Linked DNA regions of Astyanax mexicanus. The protein of the gene in region 1 interacts with the protein of each later gene in a biochemical or structural test. Links are inferred from orthologs where the notes say so. Each region holds a gene or a part of one and is shown on either strand. Other genes may lie near its edges. The genes, in order: WW domain-binding protein 11 and pqbp1.

What was found.
Region 2: the proteins of WW domain-binding protein 11 (region 1) and pqbp1 form a complex in vitro, tested with the Homo sapiens proteins (2 studies listed by BioGRID and IntAct, with this or other methods). The link is inferred for Astyanax mexicanus from reciprocal best matches to the Homo sapiens genes WBP11 and PQBP1.

What each region holds. Positions count from the first base shown.
Region 1 is NC_064410.1:8,167,374-8,176,139, forward strand, and holds the start of WW domain-binding protein 11, read right to left. Parts: upstream 3,541-8,766; 5' UTR 3,286-3,540; intron 2,556-3,285; 5' UTR 2,546-2,555; coding exon 2,482-2,545; intron 1,760-2,481; coding exon 1,728-1,759; intron 1,633-1,727; coding exon 1,539-1,632; intron 1,026-1,538; coding exon 829-1,025; intron 618-828; coding exon 484-617; intron 1-483. Other genes in the region: bglap (osteocalcin), read right to left, coding at 5,724-5,826, 5,926-6,013. UniProt on the Homo sapiens protein: Activates pre-mRNA splicing. May inhibit PP1 phosphatase activity.
Region 2 is NC_064419.1:20,724,764-20,733,918, forward strand, and holds the start of pqbp1 (polyglutamine-binding protein 1), read right to left. Parts: upstream 3,723-9,155; 5' UTR 3,571-3,722; intron 1,447-3,570; coding exon 1,380-1,446; intron 1,276-1,379; coding exon 1,164-1,275; intron 773-1,163; coding exon 672-772; intron 1-671. Other genes in the region: timm17b (mitochondrial import inner membrane translocase subunit Tim17-B), read left to right, coding at 5,154-5,179, 7,572-7,671, 7,755-7,818, 8,394-8,522, 9,092-9,155. UniProt on the Homo sapiens protein: Intrinsically disordered protein that acts as a scaffold, and which is involved in different processes, such as pre-mRNA splicing, transcription regulation, innate immunity and neuron development.

The DNA.
Region 1 (8,766 bases):
GTTTGTTGTGACCCATTTTGATGCACAAAACCAAACCAAACCTAAATAAAATAAGCGGGGAAAAAATAGTATCTCTATTTTTATCGATTTTTAGTTTTCTACATAATTTGAACAGACAAACTGTACCTTACACTAGGCCAACATTTCTTAATGAATGGACCAATAGAAATACTTAAAAATGACCTAAAATTTTTTAACATTGACTTCCAAAATAATTTGGAGTTACTTTTTTTTCATTGGACAGCAACAATTTGTTCACACATCCTTAGTATTTCTAAATATATTTTGACATAGAGATTTTTTAGTATGGGAGGCTGACAAAGCTTCAGGACACTTCTGGGCGGTTAAAAAAAATCTCAAAAAAATCCACAGAGCATTCTGCAGTACTCTAAAACGAGCGAAAATGGATGACTTGATCTCGATTATTTATACTGATTTGTTTAAATATATATGCATTATTTTATCAGGATTAAGGTGATTTACCTAAAGGCTGAGCTCTTTTTCAGAATGGAGGGTGGCTGGGCACCGGGTAGTGGAATGTCCTGGATCAGAACGCTGGATGGAGCATGGGGCATCTCCGGCAGCGGGATACTGTCCACTTCCACAGACTCCGCATTCTGAAGGAAAAACACATAAAAACTGTCACAAAGAGACAGACGGAATCGGCTCACTGGACAATCAGAACCTCATCAGACACTATCAACTGGAAATAATCTATCTGGGAATAACAGAAGCTTCGCTACAGCGCTGACCTGCATCTCCAAATGCACAAACACACACATGTTGACACACACGGACATTAAGATATGCGAGTGCAAGTACACAAACCTTCACAGAGTCAAAGTAGAGAGAGAGCTGTCCGCGTTTGGTCTCATAATCCAGCTCCAGTTTTCGAAGTTCTTTATAAGTATCTGGATTTTCTCGCTCATAAAGTCGCACAATCCTCTCAAACGTCTCGCGGAGCTTCTTCCTCTTATCTCTCAGAACCTTATCGTTCAGCAGAGGCTGCTGCACCGGGTTAAACTCTACCAGAGAGAAAGAGAAGAACACACACATTAATGAGCAAGAATCTAAGGCTACGTTAAGAGTCCCAGCCCAAATCGGATTTTTGGCAAACCTTGTATTCAGAATGATTTTGATAGTCTGGACAGACAGACACCACAATAAATCTGATAAAAAGGTAATCTGTATATGTACAGATGCTTCTCAAATTTAATTTCAGGTTCCTGTACCTCTTTCACAACACGACAAACAACAACCTCATCACATTTAAAAATGAAAGTGTGAGGATACAAATAGAGCACCAATGGCTAGTTACTGATTCTAACCTGGAAACCACAGCAACCAGTGCAGATATGCTTGTGATGTCCAGACATGCAAATTCAATCTCATCACTTACAAATAATGGACAAGAGCTGACAGTCATCTTAACAGATCTGATATCAGAAACTAATCTGATCTGCCTGCAGTCTGAACTTAGTATGAATATTTAGTTCAAAAGTTCACACTAAACACACACACACACACACAGCTTTTACCCATTTCATCCAGTTTCTCCATATCTCTGATGATCTGGCGGGGGTCCTTCATCTTCAGCACCGCCGCTCTCACCATCATCCTCTGCTTCTTGTTCTAGATCACACACACACAAACACACACAGTAAATCTGCTGTGGCACACAAAACGTATAAACACCTTATGCTCAGTACTGAAAAAGCTGTGTTTACCTTCTTCAACTCCCTCTTCCTGGCCTCCTTTCCTAAACACACACAAACATTAGTTTTAAAAGCATTTTTAGTCTGAGGTATCAGCAGCATTACTATCATGTGAGAGGGAGAAGCACTGAGAGGAAGCAAAAGACTAGGGTGGACAAGTGTATCAGTGTGTGTTCCAGGAAAGATGGAGTGTGAAATTGTGTGTTCAAGGGTGGATGGAGTGTGAGTTTCAGGATGGACAATGTGTGTGTGTGTGTGTGTGTGTTTCTGGGCAGACAGTGTATAACAGGGTGAGTTGGAGGATGGACGTTGGAGTGTGAGAGTGTGCATTACAGAATGGACAGAGTGTGAGAGTTGTCTATTACAGGATAGACAATGTGTAAGATTGTGTGTTACAGGATGGACAGTGTGTAAGAGTGTGGGTTCCATGGCAGATGGAGTGTATAGGAGTGTATGTGAGTGTGTGTGTGTGTGTTTCTGGGCAGACAGTGTATAACAGGGTGAGTTGGAGGATGGACGTTGGAGTGTGAGAGTGTGTATTACAGAATGGACAGAGTGCGAGAGTTGTCTATTACAGGATAGACAATGTGTAAGATTGTGTGTTACAGGATGTACAATGTGTAAGAGTGTGTGTTACAGGATGTACAATGTGTAAGAGTGTGGGTTCCATGGCAGATGGAGTGTATAGGAGTGTATGTGAGTGTGAGTGTGTGTGTGTGTGTGTGTGTGTGTGTGTGTGTGTGTGTGTTACGGGCGGAGAACTTACGGGCCTGATCTGTGGGGTTCATGAACTTCCCACTCTTGGTGGAGGAGGTGGACCTGCGACCCATGGCTGCTCACCTGCAAAATACAACACAAACACACCTTAACACACCTTCACTCACCACACACCTCCCTGTTCTTTTTTCTGCAGTAAATTATGGAAATGAAACACGGCAGACTTTTTCTAAAGGAATTAAGTTAAACTATGTCAGGACATATAGTTTTCCCATGAATGTATAATTAATGTTTATTTAAGTTTGCCTTTCAGACCACTGTAATGTGTGATGTTTATCAGTACATTTTCAACAAGTCAGCTCAAAATGGTTTTCATTAGTATTTACAGTTTTATAAGCTGTGCATTTCTGCCTCTCACAGTCAGAATCTCAGTTAGAGGAAAAAAAATTATTAAATAATTACGTTTTAGATTTTTTCCACTTTTGTTGTTACAGAGTGCCAAAATTGGTTAATCTGATGACTGAACTGATAAATGTTAACTTGTCCCTGTCAGCGAAAGAGCATTAACCCTGTATATGTCCCAAAATGTGCCCTAATAACTGAGAATTTGGCTTTGTTTTCTAGCTAACTTTTCGTTCCACCTTAAAATCTGCAGCACTTGCTGCAGGATTTAAGGTGCACCCAGGAATTGGAAGCTAACTGTGAATTTACGTGCAGCTAATAACGAATTTACGGTTATATCACTCCAAAAACCTTTAAAATACCTGACAATATCAGTAAATAATATTATATTAGTTAAAATATCAGTGAATAATTTAATATTAGTAATAATAGCAATGATAAAGGCAGTTACTGTTTTATTGTCCCGCTAGCCGCTCGGTCTGTCTGGTAAATCTGTGCAGGAGCTCGGATCCTCCGCGCCGGGCAGAAGCGGCCGCTCCGGCGGCGCTGTGCGGGATTATAGATCGGGGTATTGATGAACTCCGGGTTGATTAATTCGCTTTTTGATGTGTTTATGAATCGTTAGCGCTAGCATTAGCGCGCTGTGTGCGAGCCGCCATATTTACTTCCCGCCGTCTTCTTCTGAGCTGGAGGGAAACACAGCGGGGCGACGCAGCGCCTCCTACCGGCCCCTACCACACACTGCACCCCTTACCGACCCCTACAGCACACTGCACCTCCTTCCGGCCCCTACCACAAACTGCACCCCCTACCACACACTTCACCTCCTTCCACACACTGCACCTCCTACCACACCCTTCATCCCCAACCACAAACTGCACGTCATACCAAACACTTCACCCCCAATCACACACTGCACCTCCTACCACATACTGCATCTCCTACCACACACTGCACCCGCTACCACACACTGCGCCCCCTATGACAAACTGCACCTTCTACCACATACTTCACCCCAACCACACATTTAACTCACCACCAAATACTACACCTCATACCATACACTGAACCCCTAGCATATACTGCACATCCTAACATACACTGCACCCCCTACCACACACTTCACCCCAACCACAAACTGCACCTCCTACAACACACTTCACCCCAGTCTGCTGATAATACTTTCAAATAGTTTAAAATTATATGCCACACTGATACACCACTCTGTATTTAAAAGAGGAAATCAATTGGAACATTAATTCCTGTAAGATTAAAAACAATAACCAGAAGAACTCTGGTATGATCTGATGTAATTACTAATAATGCTAATGATAGTGGGTACATTGCACACACAGTGTAGCCTATGGACTGATGAAGCATCTGGTGCTGAGGTGGTGTTATGGGGAATCGGCTTACTCTAACTGTTTATTCTCATAACAGTTGTACTGTACATGCTACTAATACTGATTACTGGACAAAATTGTTGATTACCTAATGCTTTTACATTGCTCTTTGTTAGTTTGCTTTGTTTGCAGTACCTGTAAATATATTTCAATTATATAACACAAAAGTAAACAAAAAAGCATTTTGTTTTTATTGTGTTTCAGTTTTCCATTTTAATTTTGTTACTACTTCGAAATTACGTCACATTTACTAGTCTGAAATCGTCAGAATGAGCTTCCGAGGTGCACTTAAAAGCAGCATCAGTCCCACAGGCAGCAGTAAATATTTCATACATATTATATATATACTGTATATATTCAATTGAGTATTGTGCAGCTGGATGCAGGGCATGTGATTGTGTCTTTGCTATTGTAAGGGCCCAAAAAATATGCCTTATGCGGCTTGAAACGTGCAAAAGGCATGTACTAATTCTCTTAATTAATCATGGGTGTGTTTTGGGTGTAACATGAAAAAAAAAACAGTTAAAACCATAAAATCAGTGTTTCAGTAGTCATTACCTTTAAGAGGCAGGTGAGCTCTGACTTTGGCATGTTCATATATTAACAGCGCAGTGCTTTGTGCATCTCAGCAGAGGATACTAACCTGCGCATTCACACTGTGAAGGTACACCAGCAGCTCATTTACAGGAACATCCATTTTATTTTATCCTTTTGTTTTGTTTATTGTTTATGTAAAAGTTGGCTCTGTGATGCAGCATGTCCATGTGTGTGTTTAACGAGCAGGGGTGTTCACGTGCTGAGCGTGCTCATGGTGCTCCTGCATGGTTAAGATAGGATTGGGCAGCTGAGTGTTGACTGTTGTCAGGGATTTAATTAGTCAGTGGTGCACCTGTATTTCCCACCACCAAGATAGAAGCACAGCAGATATTTACCTGAACTCACCTCTCCTCCAGTAAATATATTTCTAGCCTCTGACTCTATTTTAATGGTGGGGGCTTAAAAATTGACTGTTGACAGTGTGTAGGGTCCAATAACTGTAGAAAATGTATATTTTTTGTACCTGCTGCCATATTGCACCTCTGGTCAGATGCTAAACTGCATTTTGCTGCCTTGTATTTATACATGTGTTGTAACAATAAAGTTGAATCTGAATCTGTAAATAAGAGGGACGGGGTTTGTTTATTTCAGCTTTATTTTTGCTACAGTACAATTTAACACATCAACACAGCCTTATCATCTTTTTTTTCTTCTCCTCTTCCTCTTCTTCCTGCTCCTCTTCCTCCTGTGCCTTCTCCTTTTTCTTTTTCTCTCTCCATCACTACACTGCACTAATATTAATATCAATGATGTCACTAATATTAATATTAATTCAGTGGCTCTCTTTGTTTAATAATCTACTCTAGTACTAATCCGTTTCCAGATGCTTCGCACACTCTGGGTGTGTCTAAGCAGCGGGCTGGCCCTGATTGGCTGAGGAGGAGTCAGGTTAGAAGGGGATTGGTCCGTAGTAGGCGGTGTAGGCGGCGATGATTCCCTCTGTGTCCATCATGTGCTCACAGGCCAGGTTCAGCTCACACACCTCCCGCAGACTGAGAGAAGTGAGAGAGAGAGAGAGAGAGAGAGAGAGAGAGTAAACGAGTGTATGGCATGTGTGTGTGTGGTCTGTGTGAGTGTGTGTGTGTGTGTACCTCTCCAACTGGACCTGTGTGAGGTCTGCAGCTCCAGCTCGTTTCTGCCGCACCACAACAGAGGCCAGATCTCTCTTCACAAACACACCTATAACACACACATTGATTGACAGATCATTGTAAGGACATGTGCACAGTCATGATTTCAGTGAGCAGATGTTGGTGCTGTACAACATACCATCAAGTTCCACCAGTTAACTCTTACACCACACATACTGCATTAATAGCATGTGCACACTTACACCACATTAATATCACTTACACCACATTAATATCACTTACACCACATTAATAGCATGTACACACTTACACCACATTAATAGCATGTACACACTTACACCACATTAATAGCATGTGCACACTTACACCACAGTAATATCACTTACACCACATTAATAGCATGTACACACTTGCACCACATTAATAGCATGTACACACTTACACCACAGTAATAGCATGTACACACTTACACCACATTAATATCACTTACACCACATTAATAGCATGTACACACTTGCACCACATTAATAGCATGTACACACTTACACCACATTAATAGCATGTGCACACTTACACCACATTAATAGCATGTACACACTTACACCACATTAATAGCATGTGCACACTTACACCACAGTAATAGCATGTACACACTTACACCACATTAATAGCATGTACACACTTACACCACATTAATAGCATGTACACACTTACACCACATTAATAGCATGTGCACACTTACACCACAGTAATAGCATGTACACACTTACACCACATTAATATCACTTACACCACATTAATAGCATGTACACACTTACACCACATTAATAGCATGTACACACTTACACCACATTAATAGCATGTGCACACTTACACCACAGTAATAGCATGTACACACTTACACCACATTAATATCACTTACACCACATTAATAGCATGTACACACTTACACCACATTAATAGCATGTACACACTTACACCACATTAATAGCATGTGCACACTTACACCACAGTAATAGCATGTACACACTTACACCACATTAATATCACTTACACCACATTAATAGCATGTACACACTTGCACCACATTAATAGCATGTGCACACTTACACCACAGTAATAGCATGTACACACTTACACCAGATTAATAGCATGTACACACTTGCACCACATTAATAACACTTACACACTTACACCACATTAATAGCATAAACACACTTACACCAGATTAATAGCATGTACACACTTGCACCACATTAATAGCATGTACACACTTACACCTAATTAATAGCATGTACACACTTACACCACATTAATAGCATGTGCACACTTACACCACAGTAATAGCATGTACACACTTACACCACATTAATATCACTTACACCACATTAATAGCATGTACACACTTGCACCACATTAATAGCATGTGCACACTTACACCACAGTAATAGCATGTACACACTTGCACCAGATTAATAGCATGTACACACTTGCACCACATTAATAACACTTACACACTTACACCACATTAATAGCATAAACACACTTACACCAGATTAATAGCATGTACACACTTGCACCACATTAATAGCATGTACACACTTACACCACATTAATAGCATGTACACACTTACACCACATTAATAACACTTACACCACATTAATAACACACACTTACACCACATTAATAACACTTACACCACATTAATAACACTTACACCACATTAATAACACTTATGCCACAGTAATAACACTTACACACTTACACCACAGTTATAACACGTACACACTTACACCACAGTAAAAACACTTACACCACAGTAAAAACACTTACACACTTACACCACAGTAAAAACACTTACACCACAGTAATAGCACTTACACACTTACACCACAATAAAAACACTTACACACAGTAATAACACTTACGCCGCAGTAATATCATTTTCACCACATTAATAACACTTACAACACATTTATAACACTTACACCACAGTAATAACACTTACACACTTACACCACAGTAATAACACTTATGCCGCAGTAATATCATTTACACACTTACACTACTTACACCACAGATACGCCACACACACACTTACACCACAGTAATAACACTTACACATGTACACCACACTAATTGTACTTACACCAAGGATACACCCCTTATACTATAATTCCACCAGTTTCACTACAGTTGCACCATTTACACCACAGAAATGGCACTTACACACTTATGCCCCAGTAATAGTACTTACACCAAAGATATACCATGTACACACTTACACCACAGTCATAGCACTTATACCACAGATACACCACTTATACTGTGATTCCACCAGTTTCACCACTTACATCACAGATACACAATGTTCACACTTACACCACAGGTACACCACGCACACCCTTACACCAGTTACACCACAGTAATAGCACTTATACCACAGATACACCACTTATACTACGATTCCTCCAGTTTTACTATAGTTACACCACAGTTACAACACAGTTATAGCACTTACACAGCAGTTCTGCCACTTATGCCACAGTTCCACCATGTATACCACAGTTACACTTCATATACTACACCACTTACACTGCAGTTATACCATTTACACCACAGTTTCACTGTTTACACTACAGTTCCATCATTTACACTATAGTTGTACCATTACACCACATTTACACCACGTTCACTAGAGTATTACCAGTTACACCACAGTTATAGCAATTACATGCAGTTCCTCCATGTCCACCACAGTTATGCCACTTACTCCACAGTTACATCACTTACACTACAGTTTTACCAGCTACACTATTTTTCCACCAGCTCCAGCACAA
Region 2 (9,155 bases), on another chromosome or scaffold:
GCCTCGCAGTGCTGTTGGCCAATCAGAATCGATATGTTTGAAATGTATGAATATTCATGAGCAAGAGCCCTTTTCTAAAAAAAAATAAAATCAAAAAACAGCTCACATGGTATTCTTTCATTCTAGAGACCACAACTAGAAAAATAAATATAAAAAATAAAGTAATGAAAAATTGATGGAATGACACCTTTAAGGTGTCAGGGTGTTTAAAACACAGGTGGTACAAAGGTTCCTTTGAGAAATGCTTCTCATTAATGGTCCCAAACAAAGGTCTCTTTAAATAAAGGTCAGGTTCTTCAAGATTTTAAACAAGGCATGCACTCAAATAAATTAATATTAAAAATTAACATTCCACCACTTAACATTAACATAACAAAGCATTAAAATAAATTAGCTATTGTTCAATTTATTTTTTTCTGTATGCAGTTAAACACGAAAAGTGCTTTTTGTTGCCATTTTCATCTGAATCATTTTGGTTGCTGAGCATATTTTCTGCATCCCTATTTTAAACCATTATTCACACTAATAGCACTTTTACAAACACGGCCTTTGTGGAACCAAATGTGATTCCTCTGTGGCATCGCGCAAAGAACCTTTTGAAGCACCATTATTTTATAGCGTGTAGAGAGAAATTAAAAGTTCTAGAGTGATTTCACTCATCAGCTCTTTACCTCTCTGCTTCTTGGCTGCTTTAGTGATGAGCGCAGCAGGGTCATTGGGAGACAACCAGGACACCAAGTCTGTCTCTACGTTCCAGTAGTATGGGAGACCACTGAAAACAAACACAAGGGACGTTTGTGTCATTAAATATTTATAAAGCAATGATATAGGGGGGAAAATAATTTTATTTTATTCTTCCATATTTCTGTTATATCATCAGGCTCATTATGGTGTATACATGAATAACACACTAATCCAATCACAGCAAGTTTCATTACATAATCTGTTGTTATTGTCCAATCTAGCCCATTTAAAACTCTGGCAAAAGATTTAAATGAGGTGTCACATAAAACACATATATGAAGTCAATATATGGAACTAAGAAGATGCAATCCAGATAATTTGAATGAATGTTTTTTGTGTTATTTTTTATGTAATGTAGTACACAAGGGTTCTAGCATTGCAACGAGATTAAAACATAGTGCAATACAGGAAGCACTTACCAGGTAGGGTCCAGTACTTTGTACCAGTTGGTGGGTAAATTTTCAACCCTTGTAGCTTCATAGTCTACATTGTTGTCGTCATAGTCTTCAGCAATGATTTCCTCTTCATTGTCTTAAGAACAACAACATATCCAATCAGTCATAAGCAAAACATACATTGTATATTGACTACATTAAGAAGTACAGCTGACTATGTACTGTAAGCTGACATCTTACCATGTTCTGACTGCTTTAGGATTCCTCTCTTGGCCAGACGAGCCAGAAGAGCTGGTGGCAGAGGCATCTGGGGAGAAGAAAAATGGAGAGATATTTTGCATATTAATAACATGAAATTGTTAATTGTTGGTAAATTTATCTAGATTTTAGTAAGACACTCTAGAGAGATGAGGAAATCGCACAAAGATGCTCGTTATTATACATATGACTGTATATCCTGAAGATGTGAAAACATAAAAAAACAATTGCTGATGGGTGCGGATGTGTGGGCACAACCTGTTTGCAATATGTTTTATAGCTTTTTACAAGTAATGAAAGCTTGGCTTTCTTATGCCTGCTCATTACACCAATCAAAAAACAATAACTTTGTATTTTAGACAAGAACATAAAGCAACCAGATAAAAAAAAAAACATTAGTTGACTTACATGCCAACAACTGCATTTACAAATGGGGTGAACACATCCACCCAGATCTAGTCAATTTAAACTACAGACCAAACCCTAAAATCAGAATAGACGATACAGCACCACTCTCTAAAAAATAAAGATGTGTCTTAAAGCAGTAGTTCTCAACCCTGGTTCTGGTGTACCACTGTCCAGCATGTTGTAGTGTTTAGATGCTGCTTTAGTAGCAGAATTGGACTAAGCATAAATATTTTTAACTTACATTTATTTTGTTTGATTAGAGCTGAAAAATATATTGATATTTTTTCATACTGATAAGGATTAATTTCCTTCCTTCAATCAACTATATCATCATTGCTTAAAAAGCACTGACCCAAATGTACATTTATTGACAGAGTGTAAAAAAATTCTATTTCATTTTAGAATTTATAGAAATCACAGTATTCTACATAAAAAAGTATTTGAACAGTTAAAACACAATGCATACAGTTAATCAAATGATTATCTTTAAATACTGTGATATAATATTTTGCCATGTTATACAGATCTATTAGTATGTGATTACATACACCAAGGCTGGCTTTTACACTGTTCATAAAGATATTGGTATTAATTTAGAACTGGGCAAAAAAAGTTTTCGTTTATTTTGCACCATGGTCTTGGAATAACATTAAAAACAAATCACAGAGTTGGTTTTCTTGAGTGAGCTTAAATCCTTTCTGTGATGAATTCTGTGATAAGTAAAAAAATGTCTGTGATGGAAACATGCAATGGCTACTCTGACATGCCTGTTTTGTGCTTTCATGTTGGTTTTGTGTTTATTCTAAATGTAAATAAATGTTGTAATGTTCTGTAACTAGTGCTTCGACAGTGTCGATTATTTAAATGTGTCGACTACAAATTTCATTTTTGACTAATCGTTAATTTGTAACAGTACCGCATTACACAAAGTGGTGACAGAAACACAATGGGAGATGGTAAATGGCTCACTCATACAGTTTACACTCAATTTAGTATGTGTCTCCAAAAGTGCTCAAACACAACAGGTTACATATTTAATCACTACATATCAGTAGTTTACACGTTTAAACAACTTCTAGGCATTTAAATTGCTTTATAATTCTCATGTTCTATCGTTTTAGAGATGGGGGATCTGGCAGAAATAATCATTGAGTAATCGACTAGTCGAAAAAATAATCATCAGATTAGTCAACTACCAAAATATTCATTATTTGCAGCCCTATCTGTAATTGGAAATGGTGTGCCGTCCTGGCCAGATCTCCCTTGAAAAATAGATTTTTATCTCAAGGGACCTCCTGGTTAAAAAAATTAAGTAAATAAAAAAATATCGTATTGACCGAAATTAAGAATTATATCGTAATATTTTTTTTGCCATATCGTCCAGCACTATGTTTGGTCCTGACTCTTAGCAACTAAACCAGTGTTGTGGTCTGTGGCACTCTTAATTTATTTCTACTTCTTAGGACAGCTGTAACATTTGGTTGTATTATTGATGATCATTAAGGTGCTGTTTGCAGAGTAAAAACAAAACACGAGTTACAGCAAAACTAGTTACCCAGCACTTTCATTCAGCCCTCAGACTTAACGCTAGCTTAGCTAAATAGCATAGCACGTTACCCCAGCGTACTCAGACTCCTATTTAAACCATTATCTGCTGTATTTCAGCTAGATATCCATGCAAACCAGTGTCACAGCAGGCAATACAGTCTGCAGCATCTGTAAATAATCCACATTGATAAATTGAGAGAACCGCTGGTTTATTTACCTTAATAACAGCCGCGCGCTGCTAACTTTTCATTCACAGCAGCTACCAGCTTCAGTCGGCGCAGAAAAATGACGTCACGCTCCTCCCCCTTGTGGTCCCAGTGGGATTTAAGTGTTTTTGCTTGTTATAGAGAGCTATGGACAAGCATATAGAATAAATGAAATAAATAAATTACGTTAAATTAATTATAATAAAATTATACAGCTTATCGAGTGTCCGCTCCAGTCAAACAAGGAGTTTGATATGGTCCAATGAAATTAACAGTCCTTGGCGTTTCTGTTGAGACAGCCAATCACAGCACGGGATTACTTGTAGCGATCCTCCAACCGCAAGCAAAATGTAATAAAAGTACTTTATTTTAAATAATAAAAAAAACGACAAGAATGAAGATTCAGAATTATTTTAACCATTTCTCTTTCTTGACGTAATTTTGTACCTGGTACTTGGACCAATGCAAATGCTGCAAAATGACTTGAATAAACGAACCTGTTTTACGTCATCTTATACTTTGTGGCAATTTGGGCACCACAGGTTGGTGTTTTTATTCTCTACAGAAAACACAACCTCCAGGCATTTAATTGATTGTGAGAGTGGATGTTGAATAGCGTTTTATGTGTTACTAATGAGGAGTTGTTACTTTTTTGTGAGATTTACCTGAGAATTTGTGAATATATATAACATTTGGATTTGTAAGTGTTTTAGCCATTGTACTAATAAAGTGCAGTTAAAAGTATCTTTCTATCTTTCTCATGATACCCACTCTGTATGTCTGTCTATCTCTCTCTTTCTCTCTCTCTCTCCCTCCCACTTAGTCCAGTTCAGTTTAATAGTGATTTATTAGCATAAATGTAAAAAGAAACACTATTGCCAAAGCATATGACAGAAAACACATAAAAGCAAAATAATAATAATAATAATAATAATAATTACATACATGTATACAATTACAACAACTGGAGCTATTTACAGGCGTAAGCATTATTATTATTAATTATAATTGACAAGAAAAGGAAAATAAGGGTGAAAAGACTATAAATACGTAATAATAAGGAATAAATCAGTGATTTCGGTAAATTAGTTATAATAATTTTGTGTTTTTGTCCACACTGGTTTTCCCTCAGTGAGTGATCAGCTCCTTACTCCCTCTATCTCATGATACCCACTTTGTCTATCTGTCTCTGTTTCTCTCTCCATACCCATTCTAATTATTTTACGTTGTCTTTCTCTAGCACTCATTTGGCCACCAATGGTCAGTGTATTTATTTCTCTACAGAAAACATTTGTGCATTGACATAATGTATACTAAGTGTAACTGTACAATAACTTTGTATTGTGTGTTTATTTTCTTAATTAAAAAATGAGAAATACCTGGTGTAGGTACAAATACTGACATTTTAAATATTTTTTAATTTAGTTTATATACATTTAATGTACAAAGTTGGCATGTGTGCCTTATATTTTTTGTACTAGAAATGCAGACTCTCTTCTCTCTGGGGTGGAAAATCATTGCTAATCCTGTCCATCAGGTGGCGCTGAAACCCCGGCGGGCGGCTGCGTCACGGCGCCGAGGTCAGCGGCTGATCATGGAGGAGTATGCCCGTGAACCCTGGTAAAGTACAACTTCTGAGACAGCTTCTCTCTTTAACTAAACCACCGGTAAACAGAGCCGCTCTGACTCCGCTCAGAGGAGCATTTCCCCCGCCTGTGTGTGACTGTGTGTCGGCTCTGTTTCCTGTAGTTCCTGCAGTGAGTGTATGTGTGTGTTTGTGTGTGTGTGTGAGTGCAGTACAGCGCTCGGTTAGCGGGGCTGGCTAACAGCATAAACACCTCCTCCTCCTCCTCCTCAGGGTCGGGCTGCGAGTCTTACATCAGTGGAGCTATACACACACACACGAATATACAAATACTCACAGATACTACACATGCAGGAGGACCTCTTAGCCAGTAACAGCGTTTAATTACCACAGTAACGCACATTTAAATTCCTTAATAAGTAAAAGTAAAGTAAAGTAAAAATACAGGGAATTTTAGATTATATTGTCTGTTTTGTTATTTCTTAATTTGTCTTAGTTCTCCCGGTGTTTTCTCTTTGTCCTCCATAATTTTCCCAGTTTTCTGACACCATGTATGCTTACTCGTCTTACTTTACCACTCTTTATTTTATTAGTTTTTTTCTCATCTTTTTTTCTCACGGTTTTTACAGTTTTACTATTTCTCTGCATCTGTTTACTTCTCGCTTTCTGACCTTTACTTTCTCTGTTTGTCTATACCACCCGCTTCCCTGTTTCTTTTATTATACATAATTTAATCTCTCTGTCTCTCTCTTTCTCTCCCTTTCAGTCTCTCTGTCTGTATCCTTCTTTCAGTCTCTTTTAGTCTCATTGTCTTCTTCCCTTTCTCTCTCTTTCAGTGTCTTTGTCTCTTTCTTTTAGTCTATCTCTCTTTCTTTCAGTCTCTCTCCCTTTCTCTTTCAGCCTACCTCTCTTTCAGTCTCTCTCTCTCTGCATCCCTCTTTTTCTCTCTCTTTCAGTCTCTCTTTTTCTGTGTCTCCCTCTTTCTCCCTTTTGCAGTCTCTCTCTCTCTCTCTCTCTCTCTCTCTCTTTTTCTCAAAATACCCACTCTGTCTCTATTTCTATGTAATACCCTCTCTCATTCTCACGATTATACCCACCACTTACTCTATAATCTGTTTTTCTCACTCTGCTCTGCCCATTCTGTCTGGCTCTCTTTTTTCTCTCTCTTTCTGTTTTCTTTTTGTCTTTCCAAGATTCAACATTTAAAGTCGTTTTTTTCTTGCCTAACTGTAACTGTTTCTGTCAATGTTTGTCAGAAAATTAACAGAAAAAGAACAACAGTAATTATTAATATTTATTAGAGGTGTGCCAAAAAATCGATTCACATAAGAATCTTGATTCTCATTTACTACGATTCAGAATCGATTTAAAATGTCCCAAAATCGATTCTGAGGGGCGGGTTTTGGACTGATTTTGGGCTGGGTATTTTTGTTGGACCTGGCAACCCGCTTGTCCCTTCAAACCGAGGTCTTCCAGACCCACACAGAGCGTAGTAGGTGTTTGAGAATCACCGGTAAGATGGCAGAACAAGCACTATATTACTTTAGATTAACGTGTAGTTTTAATGTTTTATGGCAGAATGCTTCATAACAAGCATAAAAAAGATCGCTAGTAGTTAGTTTCAGTAACTGTTAGCTAGCTAACAAGCTAACTTTCCAGTTCCACCTTAAATAACGCTACAGGTGGCTGCGGGCTGCAGCATTTAAGGCGGAACGGAAAAATAACAATAAGCTAATCAGAGCTAATTTCAGCTCCTCATCACAGAGGAATTAAGGAATGGACAATATGAATTAATTTCTCCACCTCCTGCCCCCTTTCTGAAGAAATACAACGACCTTAAATTAACTAGTTAATCAGCAGCTGCTCCTGAACTTTAGCGCTCCACTGCTATCATCACATCAGCCCAGCAGCGTCACCTACACACCACCGCTAGTAGCCTGGTAATAAAGCAGTGTTATTTATTATTTATTTATTGTTCATTAACGTCATTGTGATATCCCAGTGATTCCTCTGTCACTGAGGACCCACATTCCTGCACATTTTATTGTTTTTGTAACACATTACTTGCTCCAGGACCAGTGTATATTATGGAGGGGTTTTTTTTTCAATAAGATTCATAAGCCAGAAGCAGAAATTTTTATAATTCAAATCGTTTTGAATCAAAAATCGATTTTGAATCGAATCGTGGCCCCCAAAATCGGAATCGAATCGAATCGTGAGATAGTAATCGATTCCCACCCCTAATATTTATAGACAACAGTCAGGTATGGTCTCTAAGGTGGTGACCCACTATAATAATACCCACTCTATCTGTCTATCTGTCTTCCTCTGTTTGTCTGTCTTATCTACCTGTCTTTCTCTGTTTCGTGATACCTCATGATCTTTTTTTCGTTATGTGTCTTTTTATCTCTTTATTTGCTCTCTCAGTCCTTGGAGAATAGTAGATGACTGCGGAGGTGCATTCACGATGGGGGCCATCGGTGGGGGGGTGTTTCAGTCCATCAAAGGCTTCAGGAATGCGCCTGTGGTGGGTGTTTCAGTGCCTAAATAATGACCTGATTTCATGCTGATTGTGAATTCTTTTGATTCTGATTAATCTCTCTCTCTCAGGGCGTACGACACCGGCTGAAAGGCAGTGCGAACGCTGTGAGAATTAGAGCACCGCAGATCGGTGGTAAGTTTTTCTGTTGTCCTGATTCTTGCTCTATTCTTCTCCTGCCTCTTTGTTCTCCTTCTGTTACAGTGAGAGACAAGCACAGACTGACCTGGATTCCCTGAGAGTATCAGTATTTTTACTGGGCTTGTGCTTCAGCCAAAAAAGATCAGGTTCCTAATAGTAAACAAGTGCTGTCAGGTATCAGTGTTACAGATATGATTATATTTGCTGCTTCATTCATTCACTCTCTGTTGGCATATGAGACTAAAACAGGTTCCTAACGACACTTATCAGGGCAGAAACTAAATGCTGCAGCTCCTCCTACTTTCTTGGCTGGTTAAAGGGGTGTTTTCATTGAATATCACAGCTTCATTTGACATAAAAATATACTAAATAATAAAAAACAATATAAAATCCTATTAAAAAAATATATGGTCCACACTCCAGTCTATACTGTCAGAGATGTGCAAATATATATGCTGTGTTTCTTAGTTACTGTGGTCAGACACTCACACATTGAAGATTAGCCAAGCTGGTTAAGTTGGTCCAATAAGTGAAGAGATATTTAATGTGTGTGTGTGTGTATTTTGCAGGAAGTTTTGCTGTGTGGGGAGGCCTCTTCTCTACCATAGACTGTGGCCTGGTGCGGCTGAGGGGTAAAGAAGACCCCTGGAACTCCATCACCAGCGGAGCCATGACTGGAGCCATTCTGGCAGCACGCAGTGAGTGTATAACTGCATCATGGCTGCATTATACTGGGAACCTCTTTATACGGCTCTGCCTAAAAAACAAAATAGCACAGTGAGAGGTTATGACATCCAACAGTCATATCCTGTAGGCCTGTGCAGCGTTCTTTATTCTCCATGGGACATGGCAAAAACTTTGTCATGGACACAAAACTTTTTTTCTTGGGGTTTGTGGGGGAGGAGGGTAGGGTTAATTCAGTGATCTAAAGCAGGGCTAAATAGAAACACCTGAACACTTGTTTCACAAAAAACGGCTCACATGCCATTGATTCATACTAGAGACCACAACTACACATTTTAAAATGAATGAAAAAATGATGGAATGAGATCTTTTAATTAAATGTAATACTGCCAAATTTGTAAAAAAAAAAATAAATGGATCAGTGCACGAAGCACCTGTGTGTGCCTGCATGCAGTTCCAGTGCTAGAATGTAAGAAAATCTATCAGCCAAAGTCTTTTCTAAGGTGATTTGAGGTGTTGAGGTCTGATGGCAGATTGTGAGCTCGCTGCAGTCCTGTGATTACTGTACCTGTGTGCTTTGCAGGTGGGCCTTTGGCAATGGTCGGCTCTGCCATGATGGGGGGCATTCTACTGGCCCTGATTGAAGG